2 linked regions of the Drosophila melanogaster genome follow. The protein of the gene in region 2 purifies or fractionates together with the protein of the main gene of each other region. This does not show direct contact. Each region holds a gene or a part of one and is shown on either strand. Other genes may lie near its edges.

Evidence for each region. Proteins that work in one complex are often made in the same cells at the same time.
Region 1: the proteins of p38a (region 2) and Npl4 purify together in Drosophila melanogaster (affinity purification with mass spectrometry, with the first as the bait; one large-scale study listed by BioGRID). This does not show direct contact.

Annotation. Positions count from the first base shown.
Region 1 is NT_033777.3:25,621,718-25,625,347, forward strand, and holds the start of Npl4 (nuclear protein localization 4), read right to left. Parts: upstream 2,029-3,630; 5' UTR 1,863-2,028; coding exon 1,761-1,862; intron 1,689-1,760; coding exon 1,455-1,688; intron 1,393-1,454; coding exon 1,235-1,392; intron 1,174-1,234; coding exon 645-1,173; intron 585-644; coding exon 386-584; intron 324-385; coding exon 163-323; intron 122-162; exon of another isoform or gene 1-121. Other genes in the region: Ssadh (succinic semialdehyde dehydrogenase), read right to left, coding at 3,215-3,630. UniProt on the Drosophila melanogaster protein: May be part of a complex that binds ubiquitinated proteins and that is necessary for the export of misfolded proteins from the ER to the cytoplasm, where they are degraded by the proteasome.
Region 2 is NT_033777.3:24,150,525-24,154,483, forward strand, and holds the start of p38a (p38a MAP kinase), read right to left. Parts: upstream 1,798-3,959; 5' UTR 1,717-1,797; intron 1,618-1,716; 5' UTR 1,570-1,617; intron 1,473-1,569; 5' UTR 1,322-1,472; intron 1,246-1,321; 5' UTR 1,179-1,245; coding exon 78-1,178; 3' UTR 1-77. Other genes in the region: CG6178 (uncharacterized protein), read left to right, coding at 2,573-3,243, 3,300-3,959.

The DNA of each region.
Region 1 (3,630 bases), 1.5 Mb from region 2:
TGACACCCAAATTTTCTTTGCATGTATCAAACTGAAAAACCAAATCCCATTCGTATTGATGTCTAAATATGGAAGTTGTTTGTGTAAATGTGTGAACGTAATTCAATAAAGGTTGCCCGATAACTGATTTTGCTTGAATGGGGGGGAGACTTTCTAACTTACCTTATAGAAAACGTCGGGAACATACTGCTTGTCCGTGGATTCACGCACGTAGCCCAGCTCGGGCGCATCCTTAGTGGGTATCAGACAATTATCGCGCACCAGAGCCATGCACTGAGCCGAAACCGCATAGCCTTCCATGTGCACTTGTTTGGTTTTATCTCCTGTAATGTTAAAAACTATTTTGGTACTAGTTCATTAAGCAGTATTAAATCGTGAATCTTACCTGTTACACAAATGGTCACAAACTTAGAGCCGAAGACGCCATTGGAGGCATATTTACACGGATTTGGATGTCGATTCTGCAGCTCGCCAGCTGTGATGCACTCCTGGGCCGTAATAAAGTGCGACTCGATGCCACGGATCTGTTTGACAGTGCCGATACTCGCATCGTCCGTGATGAGATCAGTGAAAATCCAACCAATCTATAAATGTCACAAAAGTCAATACTAATGCTACATAGCTACTGTCTATAACTAACTAACCTTCTTCAGTCCCAGCGCACTGGCTACGGCATCCACATCGTCGGCGAACTCATCCGGCTGAATATTGATCGAATCCCTGGTAGACTCTTGTGGCGGCTCATAAATGGCAGCCACCTTGGCCCGAATGCCCAACGGAACATCAGTGTGCTGCTCGTACGTCCCATACAGATATCCCATGCGCTGGTGTCCTGTGGTGCGCCAGTAGTTGAGGAAGCGCTCCACGATCTTAGTGTTCTCGAACATGACGTTGTCCACGTGGCGATATGTCTGACGATTCAGCGTAATGGCCGACGGCTGGCACTTGGAGCAGATGCCCTTGGGCCATGGTGGATGCTCGCGACATCCCGGCTTGATGCGGCAATTGATGTCGTCGAAGACAAAGTACTTGCCCTGATCCATGCCGGATGTCTGCTTTCGTATGTACGAGTGGAAGGACAAGTGCTTGATATTGTGCTCCTTCAGATAGGACTCATCATAGGGCTCCAGTGCGGAGCAGTGAACGCAACGGCCGTTGGCATTGTGGTGGCACCTACAAAAAGTTATAGGTTGATCAGTTTAATTTTACAATTAATTGTATAATCAAGGCCTACAGCTTGCTATCACGTTCGCGCTTAATGGTGCCATCAGCCTTGCTCAGAGCCTGGTCCACGTCATCTTCGATCACATTGAAGGATGGACGAGCGCTGTTTGGATTGCTAATGGTGCTAGTCTTGAACGCCTGACTGTCCAGGACAGTGGTGCTAGTGCGCTGAGAAGTGGTGAAAAATGCAGGTTAGTCCCCGATCGTTCTGCTCTATATGATCAACTTACGCGCGATGATGTGCCAGCCATCTGTTTTAAGTAGACCATGTCGCCATGCCTCAAGGAAGTCCCCACCAGCTGGGAGCCACTTGCCTGCAGCTCTGTGAGGAAGTTGCGCTCCTTGAAGAGACCAAATCCATCCACCTTCAGGGCATTCTGAACGCTGTCGTACAGATGCTTTAGATTTGACTTGGGCGAGATCTCGATGCGTTTGATGCCCTCCGCCGACTGAACGCGAATTAGCTGGAATTAACAAATGAATAACAGATTCTAATTAGTACTAGGACAGGTGAATTTGGCAATTTCTGATCCAACCGATTGTTTACATAACACAAACAGACGATGGCGCACAAAGGCGTAGGCGAAATTGCGCTTCTTGTAGATGAATTGCTCGAGCAGCAGTGGTGCACAGGCCATTTTCTGGACTTTCTGGACGGGTCACTGGGTGATGGGCGGTTGGGTGGGCTCTTGTGTGGGCGGTGGTGGGTGGTAGATTGGGTAAGGGGGATTGTCAAGTGTAGCTATTAGCTACCAAAGCCTGTAGGGCTTTTTGCTTAGTGTTTCGAACTGTACGTCATGAAGGCGCGAACTTGACTGCGGAAATTTATCTGGCATCGCAATTAAAAACAAATGCAATTCGTTGCCAAAATGAGTGCATAGTTAAAAAGAGAACTAATGCCTGTATATGTAAATTCGGATCTGTAATTGTATGAGCTTTAAATAAAAAATAAAACAGCATTTTGAAAGACAAGCTGCATGCAGTTTTAAAACAAAAAAATTATATTAAATTTGTATTTAAAATTTTAAGTTGTGCTATTTACTGGTATGTGCAGTTTTCTTATTTTACAAAACATATATTTCAAAAATTAATTTTACGCAGAGACATTTTTCTGAGTGTAGCACCCTATCAACCAGAAATTGCTTTATTAGACAGAAATATCCTCAAATGCATTTCCCCCAGGCGGATTGCAGCCAACAATTGTTAATAATTTATTTGGTTTTTGGATCGGTTTTTGGTCTCAAAACCCCCGCACACTCCCCTCAGTCCTACTGCCGCCTAGACTGCACTCTTTCAGTGGAAAATCTACAAGTCATGGTACCATTCAATTTCACCGCCAGCACCTTTGGCCGCATTTCGGGACTTGCAGTGGATTTGCACTGCCGGGAGTGCTTCCAAATGGGTTCATTATGCATTATATGCTTCGCTTTTGCCGGCTGAAATGCACTTTAAATATATTTTCCATACATTTAGGCAACAACAACAAACGCCAGCGAACTGGAAAACCGACATTGTTTGCCGGCTTTTTTGGTGGGTAGCTATAGGGAAACACTTGACCAATTTCACTGCACACACTTCACCAATAAGACATTCGCTTAGTTTCCACCCTAAATGCACTTTTTAATTTTTTATCAACAATTTACTTACAATTTTGTCATTTGGCATTGTAATTTTGTCTCTGTCTCTGTCGCACAGCTGTGGGGATGGCGATAGTCTGCCCAGAGGTGGAGAAAAATCGATTACTCCCGGATATCGATGTCTCTATGATCGGTTTCTTGTCAATTTAAAGCGATTGTTAACCAATCCCAATTAATCGAAAGGTGAGGCGGGCTATTTTAAAAAAGGGAAATTATCTATTAGCTTCAGGTAGACTTTGTGCACATTTATTAATATAGCGGCGTGTTATTCTACAATTAGACAACAATAAACCAATCGCATTCTAGTGGAAGACAGCGTATGAAAGCAGTGGGGGTGATCCCTCCATCGGACTTCAGTCGTACTTGAGGTTGCCCATGCAAATGTACTTGATGTCCACATAGTCGTCGATACCGTGTTTGGAACCCTCCCGTCCGACACCGGACTCCTTGACGCCACCAAACGGAGCCTCTGCTGCGGAGATGATGCCTTCGTTGACGCCGACCATGCCAACCTCCAGTCGCTTGGCCACCCGGAACACCTGCTGCAGATTCTCGCTGTAGAAGTAACCGGCCAGGCCTCTCCTGGTGTCGTTTGCCTTCTTTACCGCTTCTTCTTCGTCTCGGAACCGTATGATGGAGACCACTGGACCAAAGACCTCCTCCGAGTAGAGTTGCGCCGAGGGTGGCACATCTGTGACAATTGTGGGTGCGTAGAAAAGGGATCCCTTGTCGGGCAACGGCTGTCCGCCCAGAATAATGTTCGCCTTCT
Region 2 (3,959 bases):
AAAGACATGGTTGGAACATAAAGGCTATAACAAATAAATTGGCCTATGTAATACTTTAAATTCTTGATGGTTTGTGTTCACTTTACATCCTTTAGAACCTGAGCATACGATGGTGGGGGCTTAAAGTTGGTGACCTCCTTGTAGATCAATTCCTTCCATTTGTCTACGGGCAAATCCATATCCTCGAAGCTGTGATCGTATGGTGGTGAGGTCTGCTCGACGCTGGGCTCCGCATACTTCTCCAGATATGGATGGGAAAGAGCCTCCTCGGCTGTGATCCGCTTTTCGGCATCTAGCTCCAACATCTTTTCCAGCAAATCAATGGCCAGCGGATTGGCGTTCTTAAAAACATTTTTAAAACTTCGTCCCTTCATAGGCGGAAGTGACTGGATGTAGGAACGTGCACTTTCCGATGAGATCTTCTTCAAAAATTCGGCGGGTGGCGTGCCCAACATCTCCATAATCAGGTTTAGCTGGTGAATATGGTCGGTGCCTGGGAAGAGGGTTCGTCTGGTAATTAGTTCGGCCATGATGCAGCCCACCGACCAGATGTCCACTGTTTGGTCGTAGTGCATCCAATTGAGCATTATTTCAGGTGCCCGGTACCAACGCGTGGCCACATAGCCTGTCATCTCGTTCTCCGTTGGGCGGGCCAGCCCGAAGTCTAGAATGCGCAGCTCGCAATCCTCGTTGACGGCAATGTTTGAGGGCTTAAGATCACGGTGGATCACTCCGGCGCTGTGGATATACTTCAAGCCACGGAGTATCTGGTAGACTAAAAACTGGACGTGGTCGTCGGACAAGTGCTGCATCCGTATGATGTTGTTCAGATCTGCGTCCATCAAGTGGGTAACCAAGTACACCTGTTGGAAGTTCTCCAGCGATCCATTAGCGGGATGTGGATGGAATATGTCCAGCAGACCGATTACGTTCTCATGATCCATATGCTTTAAAAGTCGAAGCTCCCGGTACGTCCTCTTTGCATGGACAGCTGATTGAAAAGGCCTGGCAAGCTTTTTAATGGCCACATGCATATTGGTGCCACGAACAACTGCCTTTGACACCTGTCCGTAAGCTCCCGATCCCACGGGCTGCAGATCCTGGTATATATCCGGGATCTCCCATTCCGTTCGATTTATATCCAACTTGTAAAACTTTTTTGTAATGGACACTGACATGGTATTGCTTGAGGAAGGGCGTCGTCACCTTAGTTAATGGTGCCTATAAGCGAGATATGTATTGATTCTTAAAATGCCATGCGAACGATAATTCCATGCTGATTACGTTTATCTTGAGGCAGCTCTGCGTCAGTAGTACTTACCTCTGTTCCACGCCCAAGAATATCAACAACTAAGTACTGGTCCCTGGCATTTTTCCTATATTTGCGCTATTACTCCATTCCGATGCGTGTTAGGCATTCATGAATCAGATCGTCAGTGGATCAGATCGATCAGAAGCGACACACGAATGCGCTACATTTGATCAGAGTAAAGTTGTTAAAATCATTTTTGGCACGATATTAAAAAAAATCCTTAATATATAAGTAAATAAATAAAATAATATATTAACCATATCATTGCATTGTAACAAGTCTCTTTTTCCACTCTTATCGATGTCCTTAAATGTGAATAAAGGGATTAAAATTAAATAATTTTGTTAGTTTTTAATAATATTCTAAAAATTAGGTAATATAATATATTTTTAAAGCCCATATACCGTAAAATTTGGAGTGTAGAGCGTTTAAATGAAAATAAACACACGGCGTTGCCAGACCGTCAGCTGACAGTTCAATAAGAATTTATCGAATAAGTATTTGAATCAGCTGTCTCTTGTTTTTCCTGCAAATTTGAGCAGCACCATCCCCTGACCCATTTTTTGTTGCACTTTTGGTGTACTTTGAATGAAAAATAGTCAGAGACACTACTCGCGCCTGCGCAGTTTCAACGCCGGGGTTATCAAATAAGCTAATCTAATCGTTCCGTAAACGCAGCCTGACATTCCGCCCTACCATTCTCCGACGAACAGTTAGTTTCGCACGCAAGCCGCTCCCGCTCGCATCGTAACCTAGAAAACTTTAGCGTATGTACATAAGTAAATTGACGAGTTTATCTGAATGATACTGAATATATTAGCGGTATAAAAGATAAACATTACATGGTTTAACGAGTGTTCGCTTGAAAGCCTAAATGTTAGACCGCAGGGGAGCTGGAAGAAGCCACTTCAACCGCTGTGAACTGCGACCTTTGGAACCTGGACTGGCAAACATGCAGATTTTCTGTAGTCCACTATCTCAGATAGCGGGAACATTGTTAACATCGATGGCATGTTCAGCACAAGTAAAAGATCTGCGAACCGAATGCGATTAGATAGTCCGGGGGGTTCAAAGTATGGTTTGAAGGGTTGCTATAACTTCAACCCCTGAACCGTTTTTCTTTTAATATTTTCGAGGAAAACTTCACACTCCCCAAAGGCGTGTATAATTTTTGGTAGATAACCCACAGTTCGTTATCTTCCATTATAGCTCATCATAAAATGCAAAACTATCATGTTTCTTTCTCTTTGCAGACACAAAATGACTTCAAAGCTACTGCCCGGAAACATTGTGTACGGAGGTCCTGTGACTGAACGACAGGCCCAGGATAGCAGATCCTTGGGTCAGTACATCCTCGACAAGTACAAGAGCTTTGGCGACCGGACGGTGCTGGTGGATGCCGTCAATGGAGTGGAGTACTCTGCCAGTTTCATGCACAAGTCCATTGTACGGCTGGCATACATCCTTCAAAAACTGGGAGTCAAACAGAATGACGTCGTTGGTTTGTCTAGCGAAAACAGCGTCAACTTCGCCCTGGCCATGTTCGCTGGTCTAGCAGTTGGGGCTACGGTTGCTCCCCTTAACGTAACATATTCCGATCGTGAGGTGGACCACGCCATTAACTTGTCCAAGCCAAAGATCATATTCGCCTCTAAGATTACCATTGATCGTGTTGCCAAAGTGGCCAGCAAGAATAAGTTCGTCAAGGGCATCATTGCGCTCAGTGGAACTTCCAAGAAATTTAAGAACATCTATGATCTTAAGGAGCTGATGGAGGACGAGAAGTTCAAGACACAGCCTGACTTCACGAGCCCTGCGGCCAATAAGGACGAGGACGTGTCTCTTATTGTGTGCTCTTCTGGAACCACCGGACTTCCTAAAGGAGTGCAGCTGACCCAAATGAACCTGCTGGCCACTCTCGACTCACAAATGTAAGTTTAATAATATGCTATAAAGGCGTTTCTTTTAAATGATTTTTCTTTAATAGCCAACCCACTGTCATTCCAATGGAGGAGGTCACTCTACTCACTGTCATTCCCTGGTTCCACGCCTTCGGCTGTCTGACGCTTATCACCACCGCCTGCGTTGGCGCACGATTGGTATACCTGCCCAAGTTCGAGGAAAAGCTCTTCCTTTCTGCCATTGAAAAGTATCGCGTGATGATGGCCTTCATGGTGCCACCACTGATGGTCTTTTTGGCTAAACACCCCATCGTGGATAAGTACGATTTGTCCTCTTTGATGGTCCTGCTGTGTGGAGCAGCTCCACTCAGTCGCGAAACTGAGGATCAGATCAAGGAGCGTATTGGAGTGCCATTCATCCGACAGGGATACGGCCTCAGCGAATCAACGCTGAGTGTTCTGGTGCAGAACGATGAGTTCTGCAAGCCAGGCAGTGTGGGCGTTCTTAAGGTGGGAATCTATGCCAAGGTGATCGATCCCGACACCGGCAAGCTATTGGGGGCCAACGAGCGCGGCGAGCTTTGTTTTAAAGGCGACGGCATCATGAAGGGCTACATCGGAGATACGAAGTCCACGCAGACCGCCATCAAGGACGGTTGGTTGCATACTGGCGATATTGGCTACTATGATGATGATTTTGAGTTCTTCATCGTGGACCGCATCAAGGAGCTGATCAAATACAAGGG